Linked DNA regions of Drosophila melanogaster. The protein of the gene in region 1 interacts with the protein of each later gene in a pairwise test. Each region holds a gene or a part of one and is shown in the gene's direction. Other genes may lie near its edges.

Region 1 (6,481 bases):
GAGCTGTGCCGTGTGTAGGCACCGCCATCGACTTGGGGCCCACCACCACACGCGCAGACACACAGACACAGCTCGCTCTCGCTTTTTGTCTTCCGTCGGGTTATCTCGCTGCTGGCGACTCTGGGCGCCTGTTCCGTTATATCGCGTAGAGGGACCTGCCTCAATGTTGCGCGTCAATTTTAGGGAGCCTACACCATAAAAATCGGTGACGGTTGGCCACTTTTTTTGTGGCCCGGCACGTCCCACTTTTTTTTCATCTTGGCCTTCTCGACAGGCCGTTGAGTGGAGTTGGGCGCTCCAAAAGCGCCTGCGCGGAGTGCGCGACGCCTCGCTTTGCAGCTTTGTCGCTCGGCCGCCATTTGCGATTCCCGCTGCTGGTGTCGCCAAATATGAAGCAAGCAGAATGCGGCGCAAGCAGTACGGATATGTTTGTGGATGCTGCTTAGGTGTCTGCAACTTGCCCTTGACAGTTGACTTTAACCCGCTGAGTGCTGTGCGAAGGCAATCCCAATCTTACCTTGTGAATGCAATTAGCAAGGTTCTAAGTTCTAAGTTAAAATGTTTGTAAATTACTTTTTAAGAAATGTGAACAAGTACTACAATGTGTATTTTTGGTGACACATTAACTTTTATTGCATTAAGCATTATCAGGAATAGTGCTTAGAAGTGCCTAAAAGTATGCCCACTTTGTTCTTAGTTGGGAACTGAACTAAGTAAACGTTTTCATTTTCAGTTTCCGATTATATCGAAACTGTAGTAATTTATTAGCCTAAAACGAAGACCTAGTGTTAGGCTTTCTAATATCCCAACTTATAAATATTATTTACATACATATGTACATATGTACATTGTATTTTCATATGTTCAGTGGAGAGATCGAGAGATGCGCTTCTCAAATTCCATTTTTTCCGTTATACCCCGTCTTTCACTGTCCGCCTCCACTATCTCTATCTCTCCGCATTTTCTCTTCTCTGTCCGCCGCACACACTCTCGTTGGCGTCTGTCTGCTGTCATCAGTTGCTGATTACTTGTTCACCAAACCGCAGTTTAGCGCTGGCAATGCCGGCGGCAGCAGACGTAACGACGACGACGGTCGCGTCTGATAGACAGCTGTCTCCAATTGGAATGTTGTCTCCGGTTACGTCAGTCAAAATGACGCATCGTGTTTTGGTAACAGGAAAGCATAAAAGCGAGAAGAGCACCAATGTGCGGCACTCTGCTGCACAATGGCCGCGAAACAAAAGAACAAGGCACGAAGAAAATGTGTAAACCGTTGTGGGGGACGAAGAAAAAGCAGGCACAGACGCTGCGCCGCGTCACGACAACAAAAAAATCCACCCTCGCACAAAGCGCTAATATTTTGTTGGTTTTTCGTTTCGCTTTCAATTAGGCAGAGTGCAGTGTCTGGGCCAAATCTCAAAGGTAAGAGGAAGTGCACAACTTTCAGTGAAGCCAATCTAGGCAAACAAAAAGCCAAACTGTCCGTTTCGATATTTCACTAGAGCGGTATTATGGTTAAAACTATGTTAAAATAGTTCTATACTTAAATCGTAAATCAGTAAAATTTAGATTAGTCAATTTTCGTATAGTAACAATATCAATAATTTTATTGTTTTTAACATTTGGAATATCTTATAAATATGTATATGTATTATCATGTCTATGAATATATTCAGTTCTAACCAGTAAAATATTTGATTACTCCTTACACGTAGACGTAAAGTAATTTAGTATTTTGTTTTAAGTTTCTGTGCCTTTTGTCGGAAGTTCTAGCTAGTTAATTCGCGCATCACTGCCAGCGACGCTAACGCCAACGCGAACGGTTCTTGCCGCCGCTTTCACACAGACGAAAAAGCGCAGTGTGCGTTGGCCAACGCTGTGCGCCTGCTGTTCTGCGGACAAAATTTGAGCAGATCCGCTCACAAAAAAACGTACTTAACTGCGAAATAGTGCTGGTCGTGTAGGTTCCACGTTCCAACCGACTGCAGTGCTTTGGCTCCATGGCACCACGGCTAAATGGCCAAATGGCTCCACTGCTCCGGTGGCTCCAACTGCGGTGGTGCCCATTCCAGTTGGAAATTGCATGCGAGCACATGGGAAAAGTCCCCAACTGGTATTTCGAGCAGGCGCACAGCTTTCCCAACTGCTCACTCTCCCAAAGAGTTCCGTCTCTGTCTCGTTCGCACCGATAAGGAGCCTTTCGAGATAAGCAGCTGGAAAGGGACGGACTGATGGTAGCGGCAAAGCGCAGTGTGCAACGACAGAAAGGGATGCCCAATGATGGTCTAATCGGAGGGGGAATCGCTGATCGCTGATAGTACTGGAATCTGGTTGATATAACCCCAATATTATGTTAAAGAGTGAACTACATTTTTAACTGAGATTTTAGTGAGTTTCCGGCCTTTAAGGGGTGTATTTTTACGATAATAAAAGTTTGTTAGATCGCATATTGTTTTAAATATTTCATATATGTTATTTTATTTTAACGAATTTATACAATTGACTTCAAAAATATCTGTGCACCATTCCATAAAATGTAAACCGAATTAATATGTTGAAAATTACTCTCGTATTAACTCTTTTTTGGGAATTGATAATTCATTTGCGATACGATATGAGTTCTATATAAGGCTTAAGCTTTGGGGCCAATACTTCAGTCGTGCGGCAAACGCAAAGCTGAAAAGTATTCTAGTTCTATAGATCTCACGGTAAGAGAAAGTATAAAGTCTAAATAAGAGAACATAAAAATGAAATCGGATTGCGAGCTTTTATTGCATAGCCAATGGAAAAAAGTTTTAGTTAAATTTTCACGTCGGGTGCGTTTGGAGGCAGAGTGTAGCATAGTGTAAAGAACAAATTAATAATAATATAATAAAGTAGTTCTCTTGTGACATTTGGTGTCGTAAACAGTTTGGTTAAGAGAGTTTTTAAGAGTGACGGTTTGTTCTTTGGTGACATTGAGTGTAATTAATATCAAAATATTACTGTGGGTTTTTCCATTCCCTCCCACAAACAAACAAACAATGCTAAAAAACCATCAAATTGTCAAAAGTGTTGAGTGGAATGAGTCGTGGAAAAATGATTAGATGCGAACATATCTGAAAGTTTTTGCTCGCGGAATTTCGCCATAAAAATCTCGTGCGTCTGTGCGGAGATAGCGACCGTATAACCGCGAAATTTAAGTACTTTAAAAAACATGGGAGATAGATGTATTTTAGCTACTCGAAATTATTGACCGCAGTATATAATCGTATTTCCACTGAAATAATTGTCTCTGTTTTTTAGCCAAAATAATTGGCTCTTAGTCTTTGATAAATTCATCTATGTTTCGTAATTTTTTCATTACGCTCCACATGTTAAGTAAAATTAAACTTAATTTTAGAATGTTTATTTTTGCCAAATGTTATTGTTATTAACCCAGAAATAATCTTGCACCGTTCCTGATTATTGAATCCACTTCGATAAAACTCCAATATTATACCTTAGTTCTCGAACCAGCAAACCAGTTGTGCGTCTTATACATACGCCGTAGGAGAGACTGAGACTCACATCAGCTGCTCGGCGGCTTGAACGCCTACAGACATACATACATACGTACATACATATATAGGGAGAGATTTAGAGCGCGGATTATAATGCTAAACAGGTTCATTGGTTTATCGGCTGCGATCGTGGGTCGGAGCAGTCGGATCAGCGGCTTTCCGTTCTCGCCGCTCCTTAAAGCTGGGTGCGTATGCCGCTTGAGAGTTCAGTCGCTCGCGAAACACGACTTCGATCGCAATACTTCGAGATGAGATCGATTGCCACCAACTCCCTGCTGCCACTGATTGTGGCCTTGCTGATCGCCGGTAGTAATGCCTCCCTCCCACGCAGGGGCAGCAGAAATCAAAGCCAGAATCGCACCATGTCCGCTGGCAAGGCTTTCAAGGTCCTGGTGACACATCCCGAGGTTCCCCAGGAGGGCATTGATCTGCTGAAGGAGAACTGCGAGATCGTCCAGGTGCAGAGTGTTCCCATCAACCGGGCGGAGCTGCTGGAGAAAATCCGTGGCGTGGATGGCGTTCTCTGGGGTGGACACGAACCCCTCAATGCCGAGGCCCTCGATGCTGCCGGTCCCCAGCTGAAATCCATCTCCACCATGTCGGCGGGAATCGACTACGTCGATGTGCCGGAGGTAAAGAGACGTAAGATCCCGCTGGGACACACGCCCACCGTTCTCAACACCGCCGTGGCCGATTTGGCAGTGGGTCTCCTGATCGCCGCCAGTCGCCGTTTTCACGAGGGTCGCAAGACCATCGACAAGTGAGTACCACTAGTTGGTTAGTTGTGTTTGTGATGATTCATATACTTACAGAATTAATTTGAGCAATGACAAAAATAGAGTAAACCGAAATTATAATTGTCATAATTATTATTATAATTAAGCTAAACTAGGGACACTTTATTTTCAACTTAGTGTGGCCGTGAAATGTATACGCATGAATTCTCGATTAAAATTGCAAGCCGGTTCTTAAGAATACCGCCTGTCCGCTCGTCTGTCGCTTGCACTTTTGCTCTATAGCGCTCACAAGTGGACAAAGCATTATCATCAATAGGTTTTGGCTCCTCACATGCATAATGTAAAATTCTAAAGTATTGACTTTCGATTTATCTACAAACAAAAGGTACGAGCAGTTTATGTAACCGCCGCTAGGTGGCGGTGCAATAAAAAAAAGTTTTTTTTATCTTCATCTTAGCTTAGTAACAGGCATTTATCAGTATCTCGAGTATCTACAAGTATATTATATATTTTGGAAATATTCATATATCTTTCAATTTCTTAATTTGTATCTTTTGCGTTCTAAAAGTGACAAGTGGGAAAACTACCATCTTAACTGGCTGTTGGGCCAGGATATTCGTGATTCCACCGTGGGATTCTACGGCTTTGGAGGCATTGGTCAGGCTATTGCCAAGCGTTTGTCTGGATTCGACATTGACAAGGTGCTGTACACCACCCGTCGTCGTGTTCACAAGGAGATCGAGGAGGAGTTCAATGCCAAGAAAGTTGACTTCGATACCCTTCTGGCCGAGAGTGACTTCGTAGTGATCGCTTCTCCTTTGACGAAGGACACACAGGGCGTCTTTAATGCCACCGCCTTCAACAAGATGAAGCAGACTGCTGTGCTGGTTAACATTGCCAGGGGCAGTAAGTTACCAGTATTAATTGGGATTCTCGACCGATTTTAACTATTTATTTTATTCCTCAGAAATCGTCAACCAGGATGACCTCTACGAGGCTTTGAAAGCCAACCGAATCTTTTCCGCCGGACTCGACGTCACGGATCCGGAACCATTGTCGCCCAAGGACAAGCTGCTGACGCTTGACAATGTTGGTGAGTGGGAAAATGAAAATAATGTTGTAGTTTATTGATATCAGTCCTCAGGCCCACACCTAGCAAATACTCGTATTTCTGGCCCCTTATCAATATAAAGATTTTGACTTATCTCTTCAGTGGTTGACAATGACTAAAAGTATTTTGAAATTAATGGAATCTTTAAGGTTTCTTGAAGGTTACAAATAAATAGGGTAACGTTTATTCTTTCCATGTTTTATCTAATTTCTGCGTCCTTGTTGACCTCTATAATTCCCTTCTTTTGTTGATTTATTAAAACATTGTTATCTTGGTTTGTGTAATCGTATCTTGAACTAACCACTTGATGTGTTCTTTTAGTTGTCCTGCCCCATATTGGATCCGCCACGAAGCGCACCCGTGCCGACATGTCCACCATTGCTGCCCATAATGTGCTCCGCGGTTTGGCTGGGGAGCCCATGTTGTCGCCCGCCTACTAGTAAATTCAAATGGGAAATATGGCTTTCTACCGCTAACCAGTTTGGAATGTCCGCCAAACAAAGTGCGAAAGGCCGCCGATGACCTTGGCATGCCAGTAGATGTGAAAATAAAAAAAACAATTAAAAAACAAGTATTTGCTGTTGCAAATTTATTAAATTAAATATGTGGGAATCTAATCTATACCGTAAGATTAGCTCAACTGATTAATATGGAATAGGTAAAGCAATAGAATAATTGGTGCTAGAGAATGAGAAACATAATTTAAATACTAATATAGTATATCGTAGGAAATAATATTGTACGTTTTAAGAAATGAGAGCAGAAAACATTGATTTAGTAATTCGCAAAGTTTAGCTCTGCACAATTGCAAAACCTACCACTTTTCCCCAAAATGTATCGAGGACCTTCAAACTGCTGATTTCGCATCCAAAAGTCCCAGGAACGGCTGCGGGAGCTTGTCGGATCAGGATCGGAATAGGATCATCGCTTCTTAAAACTGGGTGCTTATGCCGCTTGAGAGTTCGCTCGCGAAACCCGACTTCGGTTGTAGTTTTTCAACCTGCTCCCACTGATTATGGCTTTGCTGATCGAATATAATAATTGAAGGCCCCTGGGCATGGCCCGTTGGTTTCAAGGTGCTGGGGGCGAAT
Region 2 (4,780 bases), on another chromosome or scaffold:
ATTCAGGCCCAGCACATCAAAGTGAGCAGCAAGCATAGCCCAGAGACGATCATCCTCGAGGGAAACCTGAGCCAGCGGATTAAACACAAGGAGGCGGTGTGGACAATTGATCAGAACCGATTGATCATAAGTTACGGTGGGCATTCACCTAAAACATCTTTATAAACCATTTTCATAAACTGTATATAACTGTAGATAAAGCAAAGGAGCTCTGGTGGGATCGGCTCTTCGAAGGTGATCCAGAAATCGATTCCAAGAAGATTGAATGCGAACGCTATATAGATGATTTGCCGGAGGAAACCCAGGCCACCATAGAAAAGCTTAGGGTCCAGCAGTTGGCAGCAGACAAGCAACAAAATGAAATTCAGACCTCAAGTCCCGACCAAGCTATAAACCTGGATCGCCTGAAAGCTGCCTGGGATGCCGAAGGTTCGCCGTTTAAAGGACAGCCCTTTGATCCTTCTATCGTAAGAATGAGTTAAATTTTAAAATAATTAATTAAGCTAGCAATAGTAGTAAAATAGTAAAAACTGAACCATATATATTTTTATATATCTTTTAGTTTTTTCATTATTTGTTTCGTTCTGATTCGGAAACTGAAATTGTTAGAAAAGTATTATTCAATACAAACTCATGTCAACTTACAACTAGATCTTAGTAAGAACACTTTTGAGATTAAGTTTACTTGGCCTTCAGTTCGAGTTTCTTGCGCTGCAGTTGAATCTTCTGATAGGCCACATCCTTCTGATCTGTGGACCAGGCCAGGTACATGTAGGTGGTCAGCAGCAAGGCCATGACTAGCCGATCCACGCTCATCACATTCGTGGCGAACAGGATGACCGACAGGCCCACAAACGAGGGATGTCTGACATGGGCGTACAGATTGCGCAATTCCCCGGATTTGTAGCTGATGGGCGGTCCGTAGGCCTTCAGATCGTAGTAGGCTTGCTTGACGCCCAGCAGCTCTGGCAGATCCATCACCAAACTGCCGCCAAAGATGACAACCCAGCAGATGCCATGGGTGATCACGAAGGTCCACCAAAGCGGAGCACTCTGCTCCACATCGATTTGCCACAGAACAATCGACTGAGCGGGCAGCCAGTTGACGATCAAATACTGAAATGTCCAAAGTTGCAGTTGGGAGCTATTTCTGTCCAATTTGTGGGTATACAAACATGTAAACAAAGCGATGACGTCAGGCTATAAATAGTGCGCTCCGCACCCGACAATCCCAACTTGGCCAACAGCTTCTTGACCACGGCTGACTTGAGGAAGCTGTGCTGGAAGATGAATCCGATCAGGTAGAGGGTATCGAACACCACGGGTCCATAGGCGGTCTGCAGGCGCGACTTGTTGTCCAGTAAATTGAAAATCCAGGTGTGCGCCTTGGAAATCGAACGAGGCGTCGAAAGGAACATCATCAGGCTGCCAACCACGTACAGGGAGTAAGCGAACGTGGCCAGGGATGCCAATAGTACTATGGACTTGGCAATCGATGTCATTTTTGTCAGGAAAATTGAGAAAATAGCTTGTTATTTCGAGATAATCAAAACAAATTCAATGAACGTTTCGGTGAGCTAATCAGTGCGACCATGGCACAGTCGCGATAAAATCTTCGGTGAAGAATTTCAATTTGGTTTGTGTCCACGATAAAAACATCGCTCTCCCCACGTAGCGTGTCTCGGCTACAAAAACATAGCGCATTTATCCGGCGGCTTGAGTCATCGCTAGTTGTCCAAATTTAGGACTATTATGTGACTGGCGCGATTTTTGGAGTATGTCGCCACGGTCACTCTGTTTGCAAATGTTTCAATTTTCCCACTAACGAAAAAGTGTAAGTCCGCAGCCGAAAGGCATAAGAAAGTTGAGAAAAAGTTTAACAGTTGCAAGTAAGAACTGGTTTGATAAAGCGTATCTAAATCCAAGCAAAGTGATGAAAAAACTGTCGACGCGACAACCCAACACACACACACACTCAAACAGGCGCAGCGCTCCGGCACACATACACAAGTGGCTTGCAAATGGCGGATGCGTTTCCAACAAAAAGAAAAGAAGAAGGAAAAGAAAGACTGCATTGTAAATGTGAAATGTTGTGAAAATTGTTGACGTTGCAAGTGGCTTAAAATCGGCTGAAAATCAGCGTTAGAAGTATAGAGACTGGAGATAAGAAGGGGAGAGCGGTGTACATGTATGTGTGTAAGTGCAGTGCGACGCCCTTTTGTCTTGAGAGGAAAAAGGAAGCCACTACTTTATTTATCGGTGTGCAATTATTCAAGGTGCCAATTAGTAGTCGACACACTTTCACTGCTCCCCATTGCTTAATTATGAGCAAAGGGGACAGCTGACTGCTTTGATTTGCCAAAAATCTCGGGCGCCGCCGTCTGGCCGGGGCCCTGCCCCCGCCCTTTCCCATTTGTTGTTCGCTGATTTTATCAAAGAAAAAGACAAGAAATGAGCATAATTGATGCGCTGACCTCACCACACACACACACATAAGCATATGCGGGCTTATCAAAGGAGCGAGAGCGGAGCAGAGCTCAAAAGAGAGAGCGGAGCAGAGCAGCTGCAGTCCAATAAATCATAGACTCAAAAATCGTTCGTCATCGGGGAAAACCAATTGACAATCAACAAATGCTATCGACGTCTACGTCAGCAATCAATAATCATTAACCGCCAGCTTTAGACAATATCAATTTGCCTATTTATAGCCTTTATGAGTCACTCCACATTTTAGACCAACCTTCCATCTGTGGACCAAAAGAAAAAATTAGGGAAACGAACTTGGAACCTGACGCTCCCACGCAGGAATAACAAGAAGACACCACACACCGCAAAAAACATGCCACGCTTTCTTTCCCACAGAGATAAATAAAGCAGCATTGCATGTTGCATAAATATTACGGGAGAAAAAGACGAAAAGTAGGGAGCAGTGCTTTCTAAAATTAAAACTCTTGAGCCGCTGAAAATAGCAGGGGCAAAAAATGCATTTATGAATAAATAGATGAAAAATAATGAATGAGTGCGAGTACGCTCTCGCTCAGCGGTGACAGAGAGAGCGAGGAAAGCACTTGCACCGTTATCAGTGATGCTGCTGCGAAAGCAAGCTAGTAAAAGTATAATTTCAAATTATTTTTTTATGAAAGAACAAAAATAATATAAAATGGAGAACCCGGTTAAATTTTAGATAGATTGGAAGTTTTCAGTTTTAAGAAGTTATTAGGATATGTAAGTTGATTATGAAAAACAATTTTTTTTTAGAAACAAATCTAGACATTTATAATTCGCATAAGGACTTTAATAATTATACACAGTTACGAGGATCAATAACTTTTTTATTTCCATTTGAAGAGATGTAATCGCATTGGCGAATACTTGACCCACTTCAAACACGCTGCCTTCAAAGGCCAGAAAATGGTCAACTTGGCATTTCTGGCCGGGGCTCACCAACAGGGGAGAAATTCCATGTGCCAGCAAGTGCGAGTGTGTGTGTGAGCAGGCAGCTAATTGAACACTGGGGCGCCGCAAAAGAAAGGGGGAGGGAGGGAAGCAACGGCACAGAAAGATAGAAAGAAAAACGGGAAAATTAGGCCAACTGTGCAGTTCGATGTCAGTTTGCCAGTTTGTCAGTTGGCTGTAACGAGGCCGAGCAGCCAGCGTGTTTTGCATGCTGTTCGACCATAATACATAATTATTTATAGATGGTCATAATGATAATTGGCAGCAAGATTTCGACTTTCACACACTCGTTTATACAAAAACTCACACAAAAACACTGGCCAGTCACACTCACGCACACATGGGCGCTTTTCTTCCGGTTGATGACCTTTACCGGCGTTTTTATTGTGCTTTTTATTCTCTTTTGGCTTTGGCTCTCTTCTGCCGCCACCGCTTCTGCTGCTTCTTCCTCCCCCGCCTCTATACTCACGGAATCGGAATCCGCAGCCCGGACTTTACTTACTTTCCGTTAAACGCCATCGATTTGTTTGACGGAAACCCGTTTCCATTGTGCCATTAAATATTAATTTAACTTTGTGGTCAGTCCACCCATCCGTAATAATGAATGTCGGTTTCATAGGACTAGATAATAGACAATTGGAGTTGTAAAAACTTTCATAAATTGTAGTGAAGATGCTATGAACCATCTAAATTGTCACAATGGTCGCAATACAACAGTTGGAAACACTAAAAATGGTTACATTTGTTAATAAATGAAATCAAGAGTTAGTTATATGTAGATAGAGTAAACCTGGAAAGATTTGCTGTATACGGATTATTCATCTACCCAGTATCACGTAACCCAGTATTTTTGAAAGCCCCTTAGAAATGTTTGTTGATTGTGGATAAGAAGAAACAGAAACACAGTCAGTATCTTTTAGCCAGAAACATGACGCGAGCCAGCAAAGCAGCAGAAATAAGAAGCCAGAACTTGACAAGCCAACAGAGGAAAATAAATACCCGACCTGCCAGTTATCGCAGCCGCAGAGAGCAACAACCTTGAATTGAAATTTTTGCAATTTGTGAATTCTTCCACTGAGCTCGCGGAGTCAGCGAAATTTCAAGTTTTGTTCTAACTGTGGTGGGAGCGAAGAGAGAAAAGTGCCACGGAGCGCAAGCACACTGAGAATAAAACGTTCTGTTAGTAATGTTAGTATTTTTTATTTCAAAAATGTACAAACTACAAATATATATTATTTTAAAGTTTCAAAGATAACTGGGCGGAGTAAATATATAAACGTATTTTATTTTGATGATACAAGTAATGTTATCGCATATTTTAAAC
Region 3 (3,659 bases), on another chromosome or scaffold:
ACATACCATCGCAATTAGGTGAACCTAAATTTATAATTATCAAAAGGAAAGACAACAACTCTTTCGAAAGAATTTCACCATTCATCATAAAGAAATCGGTGGACTTTGCCTGTGGAGGAGAAGTCGAGGGATGCAAACGAACAAGAGACGGCAACCTAAGACCGTCTATAATATTTTAAATCGTGCGGAAAAAGAGGGCAGGCTTGAACCTAAGAGTGGTAATGGGCGGAAAACCAAAATTAACAAGCGAGTAGACTGCCTTAAAAGTGATTGCGAACCCCCGAATCTCGGTCAGATCACTTGCTCAGGATATCAGGGAAGAATATCACCTAACTGTGTCACACGAAACTGTGCACCACGTTATCCTACTACCATAGGTACTCTTCAAGAGTTGCAAGAAAAATGCCTTTGCTATCAGAGGTCAATATTGAAAAGCGTCATTCAGCATGATAGATCATGCGGAAGAGTACTGGGATGACGTCATATTTTGTGACGAAACAAATATGATGCTCTTTTATAACGACGGGCCAAGCAGAGTATGGCGCAAACCGTTGAGTGCGCTAGAAAAACAAAATATCATACCAACAATCAAATTTGGAAAATTGTCAGTGATTATTTGGGGCTGTATTTCCAGCCATGGAGTGGGCAAATTAGCCTTTATTGAAAGCACTATGAATGCCGTGCAATATCTAGATATTTTAGAAACAAATTTGAAGGCCAGTGCAGAAAAATGTGGTCTATTTAGCAACAACAAGCCAAATTTTAAGTTTTATCACGACAATGATCCCAAACATAAAGAGTACAATGTACGCAACTGGCTACTTTATAACTGTGGCAAGGTGATCGATACGCCCCCTCAGAGTCCTGATCTGAACCCCATTGAAAATTTGTGGACCTACTTAAAGAAGAAGGTGGCAAAAAGGTGCCCCAAAACACGGCAACATCTCATTGCTGCGATAGTCGAAGAGTGGGAAAAGATCCCGCTTGAATATGACCTAAAAAAACTCATCCATTCCATGAAAAAAAGGCTTCAACTTGTAGCCAAAGCCAATGGGGGTCATACTAAATACTAAAAATTTTCAAATATTAACAAAATAATTAAAAAATTTATGATTAAACTTAGGTTTAGTGTTTTGTGTAAATAGTTTCTTTACACTCTCAAAAGTGTGTAAACTTGAAATTTGTTGTTTATTTTCTTGTATATTTGATATTTTGAATTTGTTTTTTAATTTATAAGTAAAATAAATATTGTTTAATTATATTTCATAAAAAAATTGCGTTTAATTAAACAAATAACCCTTAATTTTGACCTTTAAAGTTAAAAATTCAACTTATTTCACGGTGTGTAAACAGTTTCTTGACAAACAGTATATATATAGTATAGTATAGTATATATATATATAAAGTTTAGTAAAATAATCGAACATATCGATTGTAATGACACTAACATAAAAAACATTAAACATTACCCGACCAAAAATTCAAATAATTTGTAATTTTATTAAACTTTATCCATTATTCATTTATCAACTTATGCGCTTTTCATGCAGAATTTGAATTCGCGTGCATAAGTGCACATAGATTGGAGTCTCGACATCAGGAACGATATTTAGTTACTATTCAGTTTCATCGGTTATCGGTTCAACACAACCGCTAACCATGGTTTTGCTATGTATTCTGTGAATTGCTTAAATGCATTTAGGAAGGGGAATACAAAAATATATTGTGCACAATTCAAATTTTTTTTAGTATTATTATTATAATTATTATTATTATAATTATAATCATTATAAGTTTAAAATCATTATACTATGTGGCCAGAGAGATTGCACGATTTTCCCAGCCGTTTAATAAGGATGTCATTTGTGGAATTAGGCTATAAGCATCGTAGTGGATGTATGACCAATGCAATTTTTGGACATTTGAAAAAATTAAGCATAACAAACAAAAATATTGGCCGCTGCTACAGGACGAGTGTATTTCAATTGAAATGGTGAAAGAAGGTAATTTATATCAATCACCAAACGTTACATCTTAAAAAGTAACATTTTTTATTCATAGGTTCTAAGGATGCAGAGTACTTATCTGCTGAGTCTATTTCAAATTCGTTGAGACCTAAAGAACTTCATTACACTACAGATGCGCTTGCATCTAATTCAAATATTCATGAACATCCTCTTAGACGCACGAGAAATATTAGCACAAAAAAATTGGCACATGATGACAGTTTGCCTCACACGGGTGCTAAAAAAGGTAAAAGACGACGCAACAGTGATACGTCCAGTGAAGAGGATCGGTGGCTTACCGCCATAGAAACCGGGAAACTAGACGTTGTTGATGAGGAACTTAAAAAGATAAAGGACCCCAAACTTATGACAGCACGTCAACGTGCTATTTATGAACGGACACAGGACTCCGAAATAAATGGATTTATAGAAGAGCTAATTGCTCTTCCAAGTGGTTATAAAGAAAAGGAAAAGCCGCAGACTGCGGAGGAAATTCATAAAGCTCTTCTGAAATCTCAAAAACGAAAACAACAAGCTGACGAACGCAGAGAAAAAGATAAATTAAAGACAATGGAGCGGTTGTTAAAAAAACAGGCAACCAACAGGGATCGGATTTCAATTCGCAATAAGTCTTTACAACAGCCCTCTTATCCAAAAATAACCTATATAAGTGCTGTAACTGGCAACTATGTAATAGTTCCCCCAGGTTACGAATATCCTTTAAAAGTTCAACTCCCTCGTACACCTCCTCCTTCACAGGTGTGCTTTGTAAGCGGTTGTGAAAATCGCAAGACATATAATTGTTCAACAACAAATGTTCCATTATGTAGTCTTACATGTTATCGTAAGAATATCAACAAAATAAGAAAAACGTCTACAAATACGTAGATTTAATTTTAATATTGATTGACAAAAAAATTGTTTATTATTTCATGTTGCTCCGTTTCAATTCGCTGTAAAAACTGCAATTCGCCTTTTAAGCGTTCAAGTTCTACTGTTTGCTCAAATATCTCATATTGATAGACTTGCTGCTTGTTCTGGCGCTGAATAAATGCCGTTTTTAATTGATTTTGAGTACCAATAGCGCGTAGTTTTTCCTTATCGACATCTTTGGCAAACGTTTCAGAAATATTACAATAATTAAACACAAACTTTTTAAAAATAGTGAATGCTTTAATGTAGTTGAAGCATTCTTGTTTAAACATTATTTTGCTACTGGAAAGGTTTGGATGCTCAACTCGCACCGTGTAAATTTCATCTATAAACACACCAACTTTTTGAAGTTCTTCCATCTTATTGCGATTGTAACAAAGTAATACTTTCTTACTATGCGTTGCGTTGCTATTGACAACTGAACGAGTCGTAAACAAATAAGAGCTACGCGTTTGTATATAAATGCATTGAGGCTTTAGTATTTTTCTTTTGGAAATTATATTAGCTTTCAGTATTTGAATTATTTGAAATGCAAATAATAACCCTTTTTTAATAACCCGTTACTCGTAGAGTATAAGGGCATACTAGATTCGTTAAAAAGTAACAGGCAGTGGGGGGGAGCGTTTCTGACCATATAAAGTATTTATATTCTTGATCAGGATCAATAGCCGAGTCGATCTGGCCATGTCCGTCTGTCCGTATGAACGTCAAGATTCAGGA

What was found. Proteins that work in one complex are often made in the same cells at the same time.
Region 2: the proteins of CG9331 (region 1) and alt interact in a two-hybrid assay, tested with the Drosophila melanogaster proteins (one large-scale study listed by BioGRID).
Region 3: the proteins of CG9331 (region 1) and CG10395 interact in a two-hybrid assay, tested with the Drosophila melanogaster proteins (one large-scale study listed by BioGRID).

Annotation. Positions count from the first base shown.
Region 1 is NT_033779.5:20,821,786-20,828,266, forward strand, and holds CG9331 (uncharacterized protein), read left to right. Parts: upstream 1-1,856; 5' UTR 1,857-2,330; intron 2,331-2,648; exon of another isoform or gene 2,649-2,939; intron 2,940-3,486; 5' UTR 3,487-3,635; coding exon 3,636-3,727; exon of another isoform or gene 3,728-3,790; coding exon of another isoform or gene 3,791-3,882; coding exon 3,883-4,302; intron 4,303-4,847; coding exon 4,848-5,185; intron 5,186-5,246; coding exon 5,247-5,372; intron 5,373-5,711; coding exon 5,712-5,830; 3' UTR 5,831-5,939; downstream 5,940-6,481.
Region 2 is NT_033777.3:17,679,511-17,684,290, reverse strand, and holds the start of alt (aluminum tubes), read left to right. Parts: upstream 1-1,775; 5' UTR 1,776-1,834; exon of another isoform or gene 1,835-1,889; intron 1,890-2,047; exon of another isoform or gene 2,048-2,196; intron 2,197-4,414; exon of another isoform or gene 4,415-4,644; intron 4,645-4,780. Other genes in the region: CG31251 (uncharacterized protein), read left to right, coding at 1-136, 196-482; CG7655 (uncharacterized protein), read right to left, coding at 682-1,116, 1,176-1,502.
Region 3 is NT_033778.4:5,348,819-5,352,477, forward strand, and holds CG10395 (uncharacterized protein), read left to right. Parts: upstream 1-1,658; 5' UTR 1,659-1,990; coding exon 1,991-2,003; intron 2,004-2,061; coding exon 2,062-2,894; 3' UTR 2,895-2,902; downstream 2,903-3,659. Other genes in the region: IFT20 (intraflagellar transport 20), read right to left, coding at 2,903-3,298.